2 linked regions of the Oryctolagus cuniculus genome follow. The protein of the gene in region 1 interacts with the protein of each later gene in a biochemical or structural test. Links are inferred from orthologs where the notes say so. Each region holds a gene or a part of one and is shown in the gene's direction. Other genes may lie near its edges. The genes, in order: PTPN3 and SCN5A.

What was found.
Region 2: the proteins of PTPN3 (region 1) and SCN5A form a complex in vitro, tested with the Homo sapiens proteins (2 studies listed by IntAct, with this or other methods). The link is inferred for Oryctolagus cuniculus from reciprocal best matches to the Homo sapiens genes PTPN3 and SCN5A.

The regions. Positions count from the first base shown.
Region 1 is NC_091432.1:213,235,465-213,246,321, reverse strand, and holds the start of PTPN3 (tyrosine-protein phosphatase non-receptor type 3), read left to right. Parts: upstream 1-5,543; 5' UTR 5,544-5,670; coding exon 5,671-5,719; intron 5,720-10,857.
Region 2 is NC_091435.1:174,731,616-174,741,909, reverse strand, and holds part of SCN5A (sodium channel protein type 5 subunit alpha), read left to right. Parts: coding exon 1-111; intron 112-1,567; coding exon 1,568-1,849; intron 1,850-3,296; coding exon 3,297-3,350; intron 3,351-3,867; coding exon 3,868-4,009; intron 4,010-4,841; coding exon of another isoform or gene 4,842-4,845; coding exon 4,846-4,946; intron 4,947-5,595; coding exon 5,596-5,866; intron 5,867-8,441; coding exon 8,442-9,682; 3' UTR 9,683-10,294. UniProt on the Homo sapiens protein: Pore-forming subunit of Nav1.5, a voltage-gated sodium (Nav) channel that directly mediates the depolarizing phase of action potentials in excitable membranes.

The DNA.
Region 1 (10,857 bases):
ATCAAGCAGAATGTTAGTGTAGGAGAAAGGGTTAATGCTTTATGCAAGATTGAGCTGTTTATGGAAAAGAATTAAAAGACAACAGGCTCGTTGGTAAATACTTCCCACTAGAATAAAGATAAATGTTATTAAAGCTTAAATTCAACATATGCTACAAATACTACAATGGTTAGGATGTCAAAACTGTAGAGCAGATCTAAGTGAACCTTTAAATAAGTCCAATAAAGAAATTAGAGTTAAAGAAAGAACTGCACAGAGGGGATACATTTTTTAAAAAAGGGCCTGCTTTGAACTTGGATTAGGAAGGTACTATTCTAGCTTGTGTAACCAATTTCTGCATAGCTCAACAGCACTCCAGGCCTTGGCTTGTGTGGGCAGCCCGTTGTCTCGTCTGTGATTGTAACCCATGCTCTGAATAAGCCTTTGAAAATCAAAGAAATTGTACTTAGAAAAAAAAATGGACAACAGACTCGTTATTGTGAGAAAAAAAGAATCATTATTTGACTTATGATATAAAAATATAGTCTGGTGCTTGAGAGCCAGAGCCCTGCCATCAGCCTTGCTGTGAGTGTCTCTCATTTCTCTCACACCTTGGGGCCCCTGGACTGGCTGGAGCTGGTCTCCGGCAAGTTACAACTAAAAATGATGAACAGATATAACATACAGCCCCTTGAAAAGTAAGCAAAAACAGGCAGATACAGTAGCAAATTTCTTGGGTTTTCTTCCCTTTTCTGTTGTGTCACAATCATGGAACTGTGGTGGTAGCCGTGGAGGCAGTCAAAAAATTGTTTCTCTGGTCAGGAAATTGGAGAGAGAGGCTTCTGCAGTCTCAAAGCAAGGGGAGAACTCCTGTTTCCTTTTTCTGTTTTTCCCTTTGGTTCTTTGCCTAAAGATGGGTCCCCATCACAGAAGTCTGCTACAGCAGGAAGGCTACAACAGATAAACGTGTAAGTAAAACCCCTTCCTTCTGGGCAAAGCATCAGAGCATGTGAGCTGGACCACAGGAGAAAGAATTTCCCAATTCTGTGTGTGAACCTTCATGACTGTTAAGCCTAACCCTGAGCTGTGTATGCATAGGAAAGACCCAGTGCAGTACAGAAAACGCCTGGAAAATGGAACCATGATTTTAACCACCATCCAGGTCTCAGATCAGTCCATGAACAGCACGAGACAGACCCAAAACACCTTAGCAAAGATTTGAAAACCAAGCTTGTACTGGAACAACCAACTACAAAAGGAGACATAGAACTTGCAACCTGACTCTAACAAGGCCTGCTGAAACACAAAAATCAACATTGCCAGACATTTTAGGAAGAATCAGAGTCACATGATATAATATTTAAAATGTCCAGAACATGATCCAAAATTAATCAGCATATGGAATTATGGAAATCACGTCAAGATGCTAGCCCTTGAATGGTCTCAACATTGGAACTGTCAGACATTTAAGCAGTAATCACAACCATGACCCATAAGATAAAGGAGAACTCTCTTGAAATAAACAGTAAGATGAAAGTTCTCTGCAGACAACATACGATCTGCAATAAAAGATTCCCTGGTGGATTCAACTGCAGAATGGAGAAGACAGAACATGAACATTGACAGAACATGAACACGAACATGAAAAATGATTAAAATAAATTAATAGAAATTAATCTGAATAACAGAAAGAACAAAGGTTGAAAAACAATGAACAGAGCCCTAGACACTTGTGGGGCAAAGTTAAAAGTTTCAACATTAGTATTACTGGAGTCCTGGAAGAAAAGATTAATACAGGAAACACATTTGAAGAAATGATGGCCAAAATTGCCCACATGCAGTGAAAGAAATAAATATTTACAAACTTGAGAAACAGTACATTTCAAACAAAATCATGCCCAGGCACATCACAATAAAACTCCCAAACATCAAAGAAAAATGTTGAAAATCTTATAAGAGCCTAACAACACATTACTTCTAGAGGAACAGTAACTTGAATGAATTTTGATTTCTCACCATAAACCGTCCAGGCCAGATGAACAACATCTTTAGAGTATAAGAAGAAAAGCACTTTTAAGCCAAAATGCATGAAGGGAAAAAAGCTGATAGAACTGAAAGGAGAAATGGATAAATCCATAACCATACTTGGAGAGGTCAACATTTTCCTCTCAGTAATTGACAGAACAAGTACACAGAAAATTGATAAACATATAACAAAGCTAAGCCGGCGCCGTGGCTCAATAGGCTAATCCTCCACCTTGCGGCGCCGGCACACCGGGTTCTAGTCCTGGTTGGGGCGCCGGATTCTGTCCCGGTTGCCCCTCTTCCAGGCCAGCTCTCTGCTATGGCCAGGGAGTGCAGTGGAGGATGGCCCAAGTGCTTGGGCCCTGCACCCCATGGGAGACCAGGAAAAGCACCTGGATCCTGGCTCCTGCCATCGGATCAGCGCGGTGCGCCGGCTGCAGCGGCGGCCATTGGAGGGTGAACCAACGGCAAAGGAAGACCTTTCTCTCTGTCTCTCTCTCTCACTGTCCACTCTGCCTGTCAAAAATTAAAAAAAAAAAAACATATAACAAAGCTGAATAACTCTCAACAACTTAGTCTGATAGACATTTATAGAGTTTGCTACCCAACAACAGCAAAAAAAAAAAAAAAGGCATTCCTTTTGCATTTACATAGAAAATTCATCAAGACAGGTGATATTCTGGGCCTGTGATTAAGCTTTAGCAAATTGAAATGAATTGAAATCAAATTGTGAATAATATTCTACTATCCCCCAACCATATTAGTATTTGCATAGAAAAAATATGGGAGAACTTTTTATGTGGGTTGGGGTATAATAGGGGCTGTTCACTTTCTGCTATATACATCTGAGTTTTAATATTTTATACAGTCCAAGTAGTATTTTTGTAACCAGGAAATAATACTGAGAGTTTTCTGTTCTCGTTGTTTGAAGACAGGTACAGACTTTTGTTTCCCTCAGAGTAAGTTTTCCCATTTAATTCACCAGGCCACTAGAATCCACGTAACTCCAATACCATTAAAAACTCAGGGCCATCGGCCCCCTCCCTCCCTCCACGTCCCTTCTTTCCTGCTTCCTTCTGGTAGTGGGTGACCATGACCACATCAACAACCAAGATATCATGTTTATCCTGATAGACTTTGTGTCTTTTTTCCATTAATGGACTTCTCTATCACTACTAGGAGTGGGAAGATCTTAGCTATTTGAATTTCCCTCTCATTGGAATCGTATACAAACCAGGACTTTACTCTGACTGAGGGTAGGAACAACACTTCATATCAAAGTACTTTGTGTCAAAGATCCAGATCTAAATCATTGCTCTGTCTCTAACCAGCTGTGAGAACTTGGGCAGCCTATTTTATTTGATTGGCCTCAGTTTCTCCATCTGCAAAACAAGTTGACAGAGATTGAAAAACACACTTGCAAATAGTAATCCTTCTTTGCCTTCTTTATCTACTGAGGAAAACTGTCTGTTTCCTTTGGGCTCTTCTCCTTCCTCCCCAGAACCTCACCCGCTTCCCCTAGCTTGCCAAGGGTGGTTTCCCACCATGCTAACAATGATTCTATCCTGTTGGTTGTTTCCCCAGATCTGTTATGCACAGCAGGTAATATTTGACTTATATTGAAAAGGACAGACAGCAACTGGTTTGGAAAAGAAAGAAGAAAAGGAAAAAGGGAAAGATGGGGGAAGCTAAAGCAGAAAGAGATGGAGAAAATTTTTTTAAAAAACTATGCCAGCCCAGCTTTGGGAGATTTAGGGGTGCGAGTTTAGACTAGGGAAAAGGAGAGCAGGGTATGAGACAGCTAATGGATGAGTGGGTAGATAAAATCATGGTCAGAATGAATAGGGAGGGAAGGAGAGGAAACATTAAAGAGAGGATGAAAGAACAGGGGGCATTTGTTCTGTGCAACTGACAAACTCTCTTTCAGGACTTTTTTGAGAGACAGTAGAGGTTCAACTTACTGTGTGATTCAACATGCAATAGTGCCTAGAAAAGACCACTGAGCAACCCCAATTCTTTGTGGGCAACACAGGGATAGCTCTCTTCATTCTTAACCAGATGGAAAAGCGCCAATGAGATCAAAATTATACAAACTATAATTATACAACATTATACAAATTTATACGAAATTATAATCGTTCCATTATCAAGTTTTCTTTGACTTTCTACTCAGTTCTTCGTTCAAATCGTTTACCCAATGCCATAAGCACCAAACTGTTTGGGTAGCAGGGAAATTGCAGGTAGGGTTGTACAGTCTTCACTCAGGTCTTTGAGAAAGGGACAGGGGTCACCTTCCACACCCTCCCAGTCAGCCAGCAACACTGAACTAGTTTAGACCATGTGTACTGCTGCTCGCCTGCATCCCCCTTTAGAGCCACCTCTGTGTGTTTTTCTGCTTCTCTTACTACACCGTGAACATAGTGGGCCAGAAATACCACCTGCTCATCCCCACCCGCTCCATCCAGCAGAGAGCTGAATGCATGTTAGGTAAATTAACTTGGGATAGTATTATGAGACATTAGTAGATTCTCAATCTCTCTCTCTCTCTCTCTCTCTCTCGCTCTCGCTCTCCCTCCCTCTCTCTCTCTCTCTCTCTCACACACACACACACACACACACAAATGACTTCAATTTATATACAACCCTGGAGAGGAGCTGATAAAACCTAAAATTGACTAAGTCTCTGTCACCAGGAATAATTGAGGGCCTATAAGAAAATCTAACTCAAGTCATAGAAAAACTAAGCTACCTTTGTTTTGCACATCTGAATTTTGAGCCCCAAAGCTCAGGTGCACTACAAATGTTTGTTGATTAAATGAAATAATGAGTGTTGGGGATAGGGTGTTTCTCCAGCAAGCTCTTGGTGGAGTTGTCTTGGCTGCTTTCCAAGAAAGATGGTAATTATTACAAAGAGCATCTGCTTTCTGGTCCCGGCATGGCCAATTATTAGCCATGGCTCCTGCAGTAAGTTTCAAGTCTTCCTATCTGTAAAATGGGGTTAAGATACTTGCCCTGCCCTCCTCACAATGTTATCAAAAGGATGCAATGGGATAAAGTATGTGTAGGTCCTTCACATGGGACTAGCATGGGGATCACCCCTAGCTTGTGGTCCAGGAAGCAAGACAAAAGTAAGAATGAACTCACAGATCAGAGTTCTCCAATGCCCCTCTTTTTAACCACACCAGTTTTCTAGAACTGGAAAGGAACCGTGACTAAATTCTCCCTGGAACCACATCAGTGCTAAGTGGAGGCTGTCACGGCTCGCACTCGCCAGACCCACAGCAGGCACCACGAAGATATTCTCAAGGCAGAAGACAGAGATATTTGCATTGTGAAATAATCTGTCTGCTATGTGACAACAAATTAAGCCCTGGGTGACTATTCCCATAAAACACGTCCTGTGCTGAGCACTGCTATTATGGGGTGGATAGACCTGGTAAAGAATCAATTAAAACTCTGACACATTCGATGGAGCGCCAAGACCTGTTTCACAGGTTTCCCCAGAGGAAAATCATCATGTTACATTACGCTTTGGAAGGCGATCGAGGCAAGATTTCCGAGACAAGTGCCGAGATTTACAAGACAGATTTCAGCTTTTCCAAATCCTCTTTTGAAGTGCTATTCAAAGGATTACAGCATTCAAGTCACCATTAATCCAAGAGCATCATGGTGGAGCAAGAGGAGTCGCCGTCCTGTGAGCATGCCCCAGAACGCTGTAAGTTCCCTTACAAAACGCATTTTTAAAGAAATCGTAAAAATGTTGCAAGGTGGATGTGTATACCCGTTTTTGAAGTTAAGGAAGTAAGACAGGTGGGATGTTAAAACTGGAATTCCTTGCTATTTGTAAAATAGGGCTGATCTACAACAAGGGGCAACTTTTGTTTGGGAACATTTTTAAATGCAGTTGTAGAATTTCGAGAAGAGCCTCATAAAAGGTGAACAAGAGGGTTGATCGTGGAAGAGAAAGAAAGTCTGTGGTTACCACTGCTTAAACTAAGTTTCTATGACAGCAAGTGGGAATGGTAATGAAAAGAGCAATGTGGGGATTTTTTTTTTTTTTTTTTTTTTTGGCTAATTCAGACATCTGTGTGACCATCTTTTAATCTCATTGCCTGAAATAACTTCAGTCAGGGGTTTTCAGGTTCATGCAGCCTCTCTTCAGAAGCAATGCCTACATGTGAGCTTCAGCAGAAAGAGGGAACCGGGCAGGACCGAGACAAGTCAGCATCAGCAGTGAGCGCAGTTGAGGGCCAAGCCAGGCTGAGCTGAGCGAGGTGGTCAGCAGGGTGGGAAGTGGGTCAGGGGGTTGGGCCAACCCCTGACCCTGCAGACTCATTCAGAAGCAATGAGAGAAAAGACAACAGGAGGGTGGCATGTAAGTGTTACACTCTCAAGACATCTCCCCAGGAGAGAGAGAGAGACAAAGACAGAGAGAGAAAGAGAAAGGGAAATCCATGGCACAAGGACAAGGCCAGGCCTGCCCGCTCACGTGCTCAGCTCTGCTACGGAGCAGGACGTGCTCAGAGAAATGCTCTCATGGTGCAGGAATCTGTTCAGTTAGAAAAGTAGAAATGCCTGGTGCTCCTGCTCCCAAAATCTGACCGCGACATCTTTATTTTTTTCAGGATAAGCAGTTGAGAAGAGTTAGGGGGAATGGAGACCCCATTTTTAGCCAAGCATACTATTCACTATAATTTTTCAAAAAGATTGTTGGGCTCTTTTCTTGTTGGAGTTGCTGTTTAAATCCTTCAGGTTTCCTCTATTGGTTGAGGAAAAAAAAATGTTGCTGCAGAATAATGCATACGTGTATCTGTTAATGCCTTCTTCATCTTGTACAACAGGGGCCTCTGAGAGCTACAGATGGGGGCTCAGAATATGCAGTAACCTTGCAGTCTCAAAGCCTTGCCAAGGTCCTTGGGGCTATTGAGAGACAAGATGTCAGGCCAGGTCCCCACCCTGCTCTGCACTCTGCCCTCCCCCCAGCTCTCTGCAGATGCACATTCCAACATTTCCCCAGGAGCTCATAGTGGGCAGGTGGAGGGGGGATGTTTCCACTCTTTGAAGCAAACAAAAAAAAAAAAAAAATTGAGTATCCCTGGATGAATGTTTGGCACAGCAGTTAAGATGCTACTTGGGGTACCCACACCCCACATCAGAGTGCCTGCTTTCAGTCTCTGCTCGGCTTCTGATTCCAGCTTCCTGTTAATGCACACCCTAAGAGGCTGCTGCTATTACTTGGGTCTCTGCATGCATGTGGGAGACCTGGATTGAGTCCCTGGCTCTTGGCTTCAGCCAGGCCCAAGTGGGCTGTTGTAGGCATTTGGAGAGTGAACCAGTGAATAGACGGTCTCCCTCTGTCAATCTGTCTTTCAAATAAAATGAAAAATAAATAATTTTTAAATCAAATATCATTAAAATAGTCAACTTTCTCATTTGAAAGAAAGGAGAATTTAATTTCTCAGAGAATTATAATGAGTTAGTCAAAGGCAAACCAGCAATATAATCCCAGTGAATGGATAACTAGTTTACTATACTGGTCTTCCTTTTCTCTTTTCTCAAAGGAGTTGATAGAGTCTTCTCTATCTCACCCACTCTCCACTTTGACCCAGTTCCTTACTCATAGTCCAAAACCTTATCACAGCATATCTTCCAATGGGTAAAGCCACATGTAACCCCTCTGTGGTTAATACAATCCCCCCAACACTGAACACCTGCTTTGTGCAGCCCCGTGCCAAGTCCTAGAGACCTGCAGATGAACAGGACACAAACCCTGCATTCAAATATATTATAATCTGTTAGGATCAAAAAGATCTGAGAACTGTGCTATGAAAGACATTTTATTGACTGCACTCTATTTTTGAAAAACAACAGAAAGGGAAGGAAAACAGTGCACCGATTCCCTAAAATGTCAAACACAATCAATCCTCTTATGGTTCTGTAAGTCCATATGGATGTGTGTATATGTGTGTGTGTATGTGTGTATAACATATATGAGTCATATATATAATACATACTATGACTCATCTATTATATCATTGTATATAATATTATATTGATTACTATATATAATAATATATGTAACATGCGTATAGCCAAAAGAATTGAAAATTGGTACTCAAACAAATATGTGGACACACATGTATTAAAAGTATCCAAAAGGTAGAAACAACCCAAACATCCACCAATGGATGAACAGATCAACAAATTGTGATACCTCCATACAATGGAATATTACTCGGCCATAAAAAGGAAGGAAGGAAGTTCTGATCCATGCTACAATGTGGATGGGTCTTGAAAGTATTCTACTAAGTGAAAGAAGCCAGACACGAGAGGCGTCACACTGCATGACTGCATTTACACGGAATATCCAGAACAGGCAAATCCACACATACAGGAAGAAGATCGGTGGTTGCCAGAGATTATAAAAGAGGACAATCAGGGAAGTGACTGCTAGTGCAACAAGGTTCCTTTTTTGGGGAAGCATGAAAATTTTCCCAAACTGGATAATAGTGATCAATGCACAACATTGTAAATACATGAAACATCAGTGAATTATTCTGTTTAAAAGTTACTTTTATGTTATGTGAATTTCACCTCAATTTTTTTAAAAATTTATTTACTTATTTGAAAGGCAGAGTTGCAGAGAGGCAGAGGCAGCGAGAAAGAGGTCTTCCATCCACTGGTTTACTCCCTGGATGGCCACAACAGCCGGAGTTGGGCCGATCCGAAGCCAGGAGCCAGAAGCCAGAAGCCAGGAGCTTCTTCTGGGTCTCCCATGCAGGTGCAGGGCCCTAAGGACTTGGGTCATCTTCTACTGCTTTCCCAGGTCTTAGCAGAGAGCTGGATTGGAAGTGAAGTAGCTGGGACTCACCCATATGAGATACCAGCACTGCAGGCAGCGGCTTTACCCACTACGCCACAGTGCCAGCCCTCGCCTCAGTTTTAAAAAGAGAAGAGAAAGGAATGTAAAGGGCTCTAAAGAGGCTCTGTGGAAGCCAGGGAGCAAGCTGGTAAGATTCGTAGAGGATCAGTTCCTGCAGGCCTGCAAGGTCCCTGGACTCGATCTTGGGAGAAGTGGCATCCCCAGTAGCTTTCAGCAAGAGGATGCCTTGATCAGATCTCTGGTTTAGACTGGACATTCTGAGTGGAGAACTGACCACAGTAAGGCGGTTCTGGTCTCGCTGAAACACACTGGCTGGCCCAATGTGAAATCACAAGGCTCATACCCATATGTAAAATACCTGTCCGAGCAAGGTCTAAGGTTAAGTGGCTGGAATCCTGTCCCGCTAAAATTGAAATCAGAAATTTTAACTTCAATGAAAAACAGTAGCCACAGTTCTTTTGAGATCGATTTTTTTTATACCACATAAGCCCATCTTTTTGCATTCTACCAGCTTTGATATTGATAGGGTTTTAAAAGCAAAATTAAAGTGCTTCCTGTTCCTCTACAGATTACTCAAAAAGATTTGCCCTTGAACAAATACTTCAGCAAGGAGGCAAGCCTGTTCTGGATGAAAGCAAACTGCAATCCAAAAATAGGTTTGAGAAATAAGCCAAGATCCAAAATTAATACATTTGTCTCAGTCTCAATTTTGGCACTATTAGCATGTCAAGAACTTCTGCACACTGTAATATTTTTGAAGTAGCCAGTTGGATTACTTTTTGTACAGAGAGTAAAAGTTTTAATTTTTATGATCTGCTCCATTTGCATCTAAGCACTAAATTCAATGTAACCTGTCAGAATCATATAGAACTAATCAAGCCAAACTTTGAAGGGCATTCCAAAGATCTCGAACCTATAGTGGTGGCTCTGCTGGTCAGCTTCCCCAGGTCTTTTTTTTTTTTTTTTTTCTGACAGGCAGAGTGGACAGTGAGAGAGAGAGACAGAGAGAAAGGTCTTCCTTTGCCGTTGGTTCACCCTCCAGTGGCCGCCATGGCTGGCGCGCTGCGGCCGGCGCACCGCGCTGATCCGATGGCAGGAGACAGGTACTTCTCCTGGTCTCCCATGGGGTGCAGGGCCCAAGGACTTGGGCCATCCTCCACTGCACTCCCTGGCCACAGCAGAGAGCTGGCCTGGAAGAGGGGAAACCGGGACAGAATCCGGCGCCCCGAACCCGGTGTGCCGGCGCCGCAAGGCGGAGGAATAGCCTAGTGAGCCATGGCACCAGCCTTCCCCAGGTCTTTCTAAACTAGTGCCCAAGAGGCCTGAGGGAAATCCAAAGGCTGAGATGTTTCCTGGACTTTGAGTGCTAAAGTCAAAACACCACATGGGGGCTGGCATTGGGGCACCGCAGGTTAAACAGCCACTGGCATCCCATTTGGGAGTTCAAGTCCCAGCTGCTCTACTTTCCATCCAGCTTCCTGGTAATGTACCTGAGAAGCAGTGGAGGCTGACCCCGGTGCTTAGGCTTGTGCCACCCATGTGGGAGACCAGGGTGGAGTTCCAGGCTCCTGGGTCAGCCAGGCCCAGCTCCACCCATTGCAGTCATTTGGGGAGTAAATCAGCAGAAAACACTCTCTGCTCTTCTTGCTCTCTCTCTCCTCTCTCTCTTTCTTTGACACACTGCCTTTCAAATAAATAAATGTAAAAAAATTGCAGGGCCCAGTTTCGACCTGCACCAAAATCTCTTCCAAAATTCTCTCTTTGATATTGGATCCATTTCATTTAGAAAGCAACAGCAGGCGCTGCAGCTCACTAGGCTAATCCTCCGCCTTGCGGCGCCAGCACACCGGGTTCTAGTCCCGGTCGGGGCGCCGGATTCTGTCCCGGTTGCCCCTCTTCCAGGCCAGCTCTCTGCTGTAGCCCGGGAGTGCAGTGGAGGATGGCCCAAGTTCTTGGGCTCTGCACCCCAT
Region 2 (10,294 bases), on another chromosome or scaffold:
AGCCTGGTGGCCAACACACTGGGCTTCTCCGAGATGGGCCCCATCAAGTCACTTCGAACCCTGCGCGCACTCCGACCCCTGAGGGCCCTGTCCCGATTTGAGGGCATGAGGGTAAGAGGGGAGTGGGAGGTGGGCACACCGAGGGACCCCCACCCCCAGACTCAGCTTGCTCACTGAGGGGCCTCCACTGGTGTGGTCCAGCACCTCCAGGGAGGCACGACTGGGCTGGGAGGTCCCCAGGGCGTAGAGCCCCCCCAGGCTGTCGCCTACAGCCCTGAGGGACGGCACTGGGCAAAGGGGAGGGTGAGACGCCCGGCCCCCAGCCCCACCCTGGCGGCCCCGGGGCCCTGCTTCTGCTGCGTGTTCCACTGTGTGTGGCCAAGTGCGTCCCCTGCCTTGGGCAGGCGCACGCTTCTTCCCCCGTGTGCGGGAGAGAGCAGGCAGCCAGCCGAGGCCCGGCCGTTTCCTGTGGTTGGCAGGACGGAGCGCTCAGGTGCGGGCTGCACAGCGCTGCACTGCTCTCAGCGTAGACCCCATGCGTGTCCCAAGTCAGCACACAGCACCAGGGAAAGTGAGCCCGTGAGGCCAGGACACTCATCACAGACAAACAGCGTGTGTGTGTGTTTGTGTCTGCTGCGCTGTGTACACAGCGAGGCGCACACCTCGGGAGACACCACCTGGTGTCGCGCCCACAGAGCAGGCACCAGCACCCAGCTCCCCATCCGGCCGGCCGGCGGCTTGAGCCTTGTCCACACTGCAGTGTCGCCGAGACACAAACCGTCCACCAGTGAACACCACCTCTCGGGTCAGGGCCTCTTTGGGAGCAGGGAGACCCCAGGGGCCAGGAAGGCCTGGGCTGTGGCCCCCTCGCCCCATGGGGAGCCCAGGGCCCTTGACAGCTGGGTTTCCTGCGCTACTCCCGGGTTCTGTGTGCCTCGTGGGGAGCAGCACCCCCAGCCAGCCACACCACACAGCCCACCGCTTCCCCTCCAGTCTCCGCGGCAAGCATATGCCTGGCCCTCCAAGGCGGGCACCCCAGAACATCTTCCGGGGAGGCCTCTCCTGGGTGTGGTGGGCTTAGAGGAAAAGCCAGAGGCCGGCATCCCAGGGCCTGAGAGCCCCCTCCCTGGGGAGCAGGCGGCACAGGGGCACCCACGTCCCCTGTCTGGCTCCGGAGCGCTGGAGAGCCCTCAGCGCACCTGCTGGGCACTGAGCGGGGACACCCATCCGTCCCGGAAGCAGCAACCCCAGGGTCAACCAGAAGCCTCGCTCAGAAGGGAAGAGCCGCCAGGCTGAGGCCCGAGGTTTGGAGACGTCTCCACGGGCCCTTCGCCCTCGGGCAGCTCCAGAGCCGGCTATTCGGATCTGGAAGGGCACAGGGCAGGCAGGGCGAGGCCACGAGGGGATCCCAGTTCCGGTGTGCTCGGGAGCTGTGCACTCCTGGCTTCTCCTGCGACCGCAGGATCCGAGCCCCCGCCCCACAGCCCCCGCAGCCAGGGAATTCCGTCAAAAGGGGCCTGCGCCGTGGGCGCCCGCGGGAGCTGAGCCCCCTCTCTGTCCCCTCGAGGTGGTGGTCAATGCCCTGGTGGGCGCCATCCCGTCCATCATGAACGTCCTCCTCGTCTGCCTCATCTTCTGGCTCATCTTCAGCATCATGGGCGTGAACCTGTTCGCCGGCAAGTTCGGCAGGTGCATCAACCAGACGGAGGGGGACGTGCCTCTCAACCACACCGTGGTGAACAACAAGAGCGAGTGCGAGTCCTTCAACGTGACCGGCGAGCTGTACTGGACCAAGGTGAAGGTCAACTTCGACAACGTGGGGGCCGGCTACCTGGCCCTTCTGCAGGTGGTGAGTGCTGGAGAGAGGGACTCCTTCCTCCCATGCGCCTTCCCCGGGGGTGGGCAGGAGGGGGCAGTGGGGCCACGTGGGTCTGCCCGGGCTCCTGGGACGATGCCCAGGATCTCAGTCCCAGAGCAGACGCCGCATTGCCCAGGATGCACGCCCGGGCACCAGAACCCTGGCAGGTGGTCCGGCAGTGGCACAGGGACTGCCGACAAGACTGTGCTGGCCTCCATCTTTGATGTGCAAGACCGGTAGTGTTGGCAGAGTTCAAACACACGGTCCCCCCAGGCTTGGCGGGCCTGGTGGTGTCAGTGTTACAGCATGAACCACGACGTGACCCACGGTTAGCCTGCACCCCAGAGAGGCGCCCAGCCAGCACGCACGCAGATGCGAGGTGCTTGTCCCCCACCCCACGCTTGGGCCCCAGGGCGACGGGCGCTCAGCAGAGCCTCACCTGGAGACCCCCTGCGCATCCACTCACGCCCCCGCCTCCCCCACAGAGACGCCCTAGCGGGCAGTGGAGCTAACGCCCGATGCAGCTGAGCTCCGCCCCCTTTCCAGACAGAGCCACGGGCCCTGGAAGGCCTCGGGAACATCCACCCATCCCGGGGCCGGCCCTCTGCCGTTTCCAAGTGGTCCCGGGGCTGTCTGTGCAGGCGGGGGCCGCTGGCCCCGGCGCTGCGTGGCGCTCCTGTGGGAGCCTCGGCCTCCACTCAGAACTCAGAGAGCCTGTGCTGGGAGGGAGGCTCAGCCCGCGGCTGGGTGTTGACTCCCCGGGCGGGCGGGCGCTCTCTCCCCTGAGCCCGTCTCTTGGGCTCTTTCTGCCTCTCCGCACAGCCTGGACGGGGCAGACAGAGCGACCAGGGCCCTGCCTTAGGTCAGCCTCCTTTCTACTCCGTGGGAGTTGTGCGCTACAGAGCCGCCATCTGTGCAGCCTGCAGACATCTTGTGAAACTAACCAGTTCACTTCCCGGAACTGAGACCTGATGGTGACGACAGAGGCGCTGCTACCCAGAGCGAGCTCGCCGCTCGGTGCTGTTACCATCCGTGCCTGGGGCACCTGTGTCGGCCGTGTCTGCCTTCCCGTCCCTGCACTGTGCTGGGGGAGGCTTCACCCCGGAGAAACGGGCCCACACAGCGACCAGGGATTTGGGGAGCAGAGCACCCCAGTCCCCGCCGTCTGTCCCTGGCACCCGCTGCGAGGGCCCTGAGTTGTAGTGGGCTCTGGGATGCAGACCCGGAGGCCCCGTCAGACTCCGCTCGGTCGAGAGCTTGCTCCCCACGGCACGGCCGCCCTGGAGGGCCGGCCAGCTGCTTCCCCACCACCCCAGCCCTCCACAGGGCACTTTGCCCACTGCCGAGGGGGGGCGTGGGGTGGGGTGGGCTCTCTCCTGGCCCTCTGTGCAGCTCGGAGACAGAGGCCGTGAGTCTGAGCGCCGTCTTCTCTTCCCAGGCGACGTTCAAGGGCTGGATGGACATCATGTACGCGGCTGTGGACTCCCGGGGGGTAAGTGTCCCCGGGGAGCAGGCCTGCACCGGAAGCCCAGCCCAGCAGGGGCACGCGGAGGCTCTGCCTGTGTGAAGTGGCCAGGCCTGGCCCTGGGGCAAGGCCGCGTGGTCTCCCGCACGTCCAAGGTTGCAAATTCAGCTCCGTGTGGCTCCACCAGGAGGGTGCGTGGAAGCAAGAGAACCTTCCTGTCGCCCCTGCACCCCACCCATCACCCTGACAGACCTGGGAGGAGCCCCAGTGGTGCAGGGACTGAAGCCAGACAGCCTCATGCCCCCCACCCCCCGCCCCGGTCCAGCCCTGGCACGCACACACACACACACACACACACACATGTATGCACGTACACACACGCACACATGCACACACACGCACACATGCACGCACACACACACGCACACACACGCACACACACACACATATGCACACACACTCCCTCTGGGCAGGCCTCGGGAGTGGGTGCCCCGCCAGCCGTCGCCAGCCCCGGCCGTCTGACCGCCCCTGCTCCCCCCCACAGTACGAAGAGCAGCCCCAGTGGGAGAACAACCTCTACATGTACATCTACTTCGTCATCTTCATCATCTTCGGGTCTTTCTTCACCCTGAACCTCTTCATCGGCGTCATCATCGACAACTTCAACCAGCAGAAGAAGAAGATACGTGGAGCACGGGCCCTCCCCCCCGCCCGGGCTGGGCGTGGCCGGGCCGCCCCTCGGCTCTGGGCCTCGGCTCCCCTCCCTGCGGCGCGCGCAGGCTTCTTCCTGGGGGAGGGGAGGGCGCCCCCTCCTCGTCTATCAGAGCGAAGCCGGGGGAGGCCGGGCGCTCCCTCGTGTGGGGAGGGGGTCGTGGGTGGGGCCCGTGCAGAGGCCAAGGTCCCACCCTGTCCATCAGAGGGGCTGTGCCTGGATGCAAGCAGACCTAGTTAGTGGGCGGAGAGGACCCAGCACTGGCCGAGATGGGCAAGGGGAGGGCGAACAGGCGGGCTCTGATGTGCACATCACAAACCCAGGGAGACCTCAGGGCGGGCGGGGCGGAGACCCTGCCAAGGCAGGTGTGGGGGCGGGGCGGAGACCCTGCCAAGGCAGGTGTGGGGAGGGGCAGAGACCCTGCCAAGGCAGGTGTGGGGGAGGGGCGGAGACCCTGCCAAGGCAGGTGTGGGGGCGGGGCGGAGACCCTGCCAAGGCAGGTGTGGGGGAGGGGATGGAGACCCTGCCAAGGCAGGTGTGGGGAGGGGCGGAGACCCTGCCAAGGCAGGTGTGGGGGCGGGGCGGAGACCCTGCTAAGGAAGGTGTGGGGGCGGGGCGGAGACCCGCAGGTGTGGGGGCGGGGCGGAGACCCGCAGGTGTGGGGGAGGGGCAGAGACCCGCAGGTGTGGGGGAGGACTTCTGGCTGAGCACAGGGACCCGCCTGCTCGACCCGGAGAGGGAGCGTGGAGGCGGGTGGCTCCGGGACCCCGGACCCCCAGGATGAGGCTGTGCCTGTCCCTCTGCACCTAGGGGGCCAGGACATCTTCATGACGGAGGAGCAGAAGAAGTACTACAACGCCATGAAGAAGCTGGGCTCCAAGAAGCCCCAGAAGCCCATCCCGCGGCCCCTGGTGAGGCGGGCGCCAGGTGGGGCGGAGGGAAGCCCTGGAGGCGCCTCACAGCCCTGCAGCCCCATCAAGGGTGCGCCTGGAGGCGTGGCACGGAGGGTTCAGCCCTGCAGGCGGGACGGCAGGCGGCCTCGGAGCCAGCCCCCTCCTGCCCTTCCTGGGTCGCCAGGGGAGGCAACAGCAGGGCGGCCCCTGGTCTGGCACCGTCCATGTGGTCAGGGGGGAGCTGCCGGGCCCCTGCTGGGCTGAACGCCCCCCCCCAGCCCAATCCACCCGTTCTTGAAAAACACGCGTGTGTGTGCGTGCGTGTGCACGTGTGTCGTCTGTTTCTTCTCTCTCCCCAAAACGATTTGGGCTGGATGACAGCTGAAGACGACGCGCACAGTGTAGTTAGTGGAATAAATGACATCGATTCTGTAAATAGGGTAGAGAAAGCACATTACTTTGGGGGCAGCCGGGGGAGAAAAGTCCAGATTTGACCGGAAGCCTTCAGACCTGGCAGCCGGAAGCAAAGCACAGCACAGCAGGGCAGGGCAGCCCATCCCGGAGACCCTGGGAGGAGGCCCAGAGGGCGGCGGGGGCGGGGCCTCCCTGGGGCCACCCGTCCGAGCGCCCTGTGAGCCCGCCCCAGACGGTGTCCCTGTCCCTGCAGAACAAGTACCAGGGCTTCATGTTTGACATCGTGACCAAGCAGGCCTTCGACGTCACCATCATGTTTCTCATCTGCTTGAACATGGTCACCATGATGGTGGAGACGGACGACCAGAGCCCCGAGAAGGTCAGCGTCCTGACCAAGATCAACCTGCTCTTCGTGGCCATCTTCACGGGCGAGTGCATCATCAAGATGGCCGCGCTCCGCCACTACTACTTCACCAACAGCTGGAACATCTTCGACTTCGTGGTCGTCATCCTGTCCATCGTGGGTGGGTGCGCAGGCCGGCGCGTGGGCTGCCGCGGGGCAGGCCTCACCCCAAGCTGGGTGTCTGCAGTGCCAAGCGCTTGTTCCTCCTCCTCCGCACCCCTCCTCCCTCCCTCTCCCCCTCTCCCTCTCCACCTATCTCCCTCCCTCCTTCTCCCTCCCTCTCTCCCTCTCCCCTCCGTCTCCCTCCCTCTCTCTCCCTCCTTCTCCCTCCCTCCCTCTCCCCCTCTCCCTTTTTCCCTCCCTCTCACTTCCCCTCTCCCTCTCACTTCCCCTCTCCCTCCCTCTCCCTCCCTCTCCCCCTCTCCCTCCCTCTCCCCTTCTCCCACACTCTCTTCTCCCTCTCTCTCCCCCTCTCCCTTTTTCCCTCCCTCTCACTTCCCCTCTCCCTCTCACTTCCCCTCTCCCTCCCTCTCCCCCTCTCCCTCCCTCTACCCTTCTCCCACCCTCTCTTCTCCCTCTCTCTCCCCCTCTCCCTTTTTCCCTCCCTCTCACTTCCCCTCTCCCTCCCTCTCCCTCCCTCTCCCCATCTCCCTCTCCCTCCCTCTCCCCATCTCCTTCTCCCTCCTTCTCTCTCCCCCTCTCCCTTTTTCCCTCCCTCTCACTTCCCTTCTCTCTTCCCCCCTCCCTCTCCCCCTCTCCCTTTCCCTCTCCTTCTTTCTCCCTCCCTCCCCCCCACACACACTGGGGGCCACATGTGTGTGCTGACCTCCAGAGAGCACGCGGCTCAGGTCCCCGTCCTGGCCGCATCCCGGGGCCCCTGGGGCTCAGCTCTGGCTGCTCGGGAGGCTGGAGGCTGAAGTGGGGTAGGAAAGGGCGTGAGTGCTGTGGCGGCCTCCTGCCCTCCCGCAGGAACACCCGCGCTCCTGGTTGAGCAGGGGCAGGCTGAGCTGAGTCCCGGGGAGTGAGTGGCAGCAAGCCACTGGGCTACACTGCGGTACTTGGAACATTCTAGAATCTCACCACCAGGGCATGTGGCAGGCTCCTTCAGGGCCCCTGGTGATGTCAGTGTCGCAGGAGGCACAGTGGAGAGAGGACCCTTACCCACGTGTCTCAGCCTCAGCGCTGCCTTACGGAACAGCTCACTGAGAGAGCGTGACTTCCACAGGAAGGTCAGCGCTGCACTCTGGTCTTCAGTGTGTGCAGAGCCGGGCGGCTGTCACCTGTGTGGTCTGCACCTCCCAGACTCCGCCCACTTAGTAGTCACTCCGCCTTTCCCTGGCAACCATGCATCCAAAGTTTTGAGTCCTGCCAGACTTGTCCTAGCTTGTCCGAGCGGCTCCACGGTGTTCCGGGTGGGGCTGCCAACACCTGCTGGTGTCCTTATCAGAGCTCTCCTAAGGAGCTGGAAACACCTGCCCCGGAGGCGGGGGGGGGGGGGGGGGGGGGCCTGCACTGCCCCGGGGACTGATGGTGTGCCGGATGCTAGTCCCTTATCAATACGGCTTGCATGTATTTTCTCCTGGTCTTGGCGTTGGTTTGGTTTAGTTTGGCTTCGATGTCCTGGTTGTATCTCTCAAAGCACAAAGTCTTCCATTTTGGTGAAGAAGTTTGTAGTTCTCCTCTGGTGCCTTGTGCCCAGGGCCCAGGCTTTGACTTCAGCCCCACGGGTGCCTTGGGCACAGGGATGGGGCTGAGGTGGCAGATGGGGGGAGGCCCCGGGCGGTGGGGAGGGGAACTGGAGAGAAGCTTTAGGGAGTGCAGGTGCGGGCAGCAGGAGCGGTGGCCTGGAGGGACAGGCGTGGATGCCCGGGGACGCGGGCACTTGGGCCACCCTGGCGAGGCCGGCTGGGAGCCGGGGTGTCTGGGTCGGGCCCCAGCTGTCCACTGGGTGGACGTCCCCTGAGCTTCGTCATTTGGAGACCAGGGCATCCCTGACTGGCAGTAAGCACTGGACACCGCCAACCCGTGGGGGCTCCGCGGGGCCCTGGGCCATGGCAGGCAAGCTCATTTCACTCTTCCTCCCGCAAGCTTTAGAGAGCGAGGGGTCCCCGCCACTGGTTTGCTTTGCAAATACTCACAACGGCCCAGGAGCTGGAGGTCAGAAACTCGGTCAGGTCTCCCCAGCCTCGCGAGCCATCACCACTGCTTCCCAGGTTTCTACACCAGCAGGAAGCTGGAGTCAGAATAGAGGCCCGGGTTGAGCCCAGCACCTAGGCCAAACGCCTGCCCCTCCCCCGGGTACCTCCGTGCCCCTTCAAGCCCCTGCCCCGGGTTGCTGGGGACTCGGGAGTGGGGGACCCTGATTCTCGGGCCCGGCCTCCTTCCGCTCGCCGTGTACACAGATCTGGGCTCGGCAGAACACTGCGACGGGCTGGGGTCACCTCGAGGCTGCCGGTCCCGGTGCCCTGGCAGAGTGGCAGCTCCGAGGCAGGAGCTGTGGTCCGAGCTGGGCTTCCCCAGGTGCCAGGCGAGTCCCCTGTGGCGTGGATGCGGCTGTGTGCTGGGAAGGAGCCAGGGGTGGCTTCCACAGCGCGGGGGAGGGTCCTCACAGACAGAGCCCGCGACGCGGGTCCCGGGCCCCCGGGGGTGGCGGGGCCGTGGGAGGCCGGCGGCCGCAGGCTGTGCTGTCCCCGCAGGCACCGTGCTCTCGGACATCATCCAGAAGTACTTCTTCTCCCCGACGCTCTTCCGCGTCATCCGCCTGGCCCGAATCGGCCGCGTCCTCCGGCTCATCCGCGGGGCCAAGGGCATTCGCACGCTGCTGTTCGCCCTCATGATGTCGCTGCCCGCCCTCTTCAACATCGGGCTGCTGCTCTTCCTGGTCATGTTCATCTACGCCATCTTCGGCATGGCCAACTTCGCCTACGTCAAGTGGGAGGCCGGCATCGACGACATGTTCAACTTCCAGACCTTCGCCAACAGCATGCTGTGCCTCTTCCAGATCACCACGTCGGCCGGCTGGGACGGCCTGCTCAGCCCCATCCTCAACACGGGGCCGCCCTACTGCGACCCCAGCCTGCCCACCGGCAGCGGCTCCCGGGGCAACTGCGGCAGCCCCGCCGTGGGCATCCTCTTCTTCACCACCTACATCATCATCTCCTTCCTCATCGTGGTCAACATGTACATCGCCATCATCCTGGAGAACTTCAGCGTGGCCACGGAGGAGAGCACGGAGCCGCTGAGCGAGGACGACTTCGACATGTTCTACGAGATCTGGGAGAAGTTCGACCCCGAGGCCACGCAGTTCATCGAGTACTCGGCCCTGCCGGCCTTCGCGGACGCCCTGTCGGAGCCGCTGCGCATCGCCAAGCCCAACCAGCTGAGCCTCATCAGCATGGACCTGCCCATGGTGAGCGGGGACCGCATCCACTGCATGGACATCCTGTTCGCCTTCACCAAGCGGGTGCTGGGGGAGTCGGGCGAGATGGACGCCCTCAAGATCCAGATGGAGGAGAAGTTCATGGCGGCCAACCCGTCCAAGATCTCCTACGAGCCCATCACCACCACGCTGCGCCGCAAGCACGAGGAGGTGTCGGCCACGGTCATCCAGCGGGCCTTCCGCAGGTACCTGCTGCAGCGCTCCCTGAAGCACGCCTCCTTCCTGTTCCGGCAGCGGGCGGGCAGCGGCGGCCTCTCGGAGGAGGACGCGCCCGAGCGCGAGGGCCTGCTGGCCCGCACGATGAGCGAGCACTTCGCCCGGAGCCCCGGCCCGCCCTGCAGCTCCTCCGTCTCCTCCACGTCCTTCCCGCCGTCCTACGACAGCGTCACCAGGGCCACCAGCGATAACCTCCCGGTGCGGGCGTCCGACTGCAGCCGCAGCGAGGAGCTCGCCGACTTCCCCCCGTCTCCGGACAGGGACCGCGAGTCCATCGTGTGAGCCTGGCCCCCTGGCTGGCCAGGACGCGCCGACAGGCGGCCATGGCGGCGTGACAAGCCAGCACGCGCTGGGGGCCACCTGCTGGGGCCGTGGTTCTGGCCCTGTGGCTGCAGGTGGGCAGCTGGACCGGCGGGCGATGGGGACCCAGCCTGTCCCCCGGAGCCCCACCTGTTCCAGTGGCCTGGCCTGCCCAGGGAGGGCACCCAGGGGCTCCAAGAAGCAAACCCCATGCCAGCTGCTAAGAATGGAAAACAGACTATGTTGCGAATGGGCTTTCATAAATTTATTATATTTGATATTTTTTTACTTGAGCAAAGAACTAAGGTTCTTGGTTTTCTCCTGTGGGCGGCGGCGGCCTCTCAGCCCTAGGCTGAGGTGTCTTGGGGGCAGCCAGAACTCTGCTCTCAGAGTAGCGGGGTCGGCCCTGCAGGAGTGGACGCCTGGAGGCCGGGGCGCCCTTCCTGGCTTACAGGAGTATTACAGGCACGAGGGAGCCCGCAGCCTCCCCGGCAGGCCGAGCCGTGTGGGCCACGGCGGTCCATCCACCCTCCAAAGACGGGCCTCAGTTCCCTCTAATGACCACGTGGGGGCGGGGAGTCCTGCGGCCCCGCC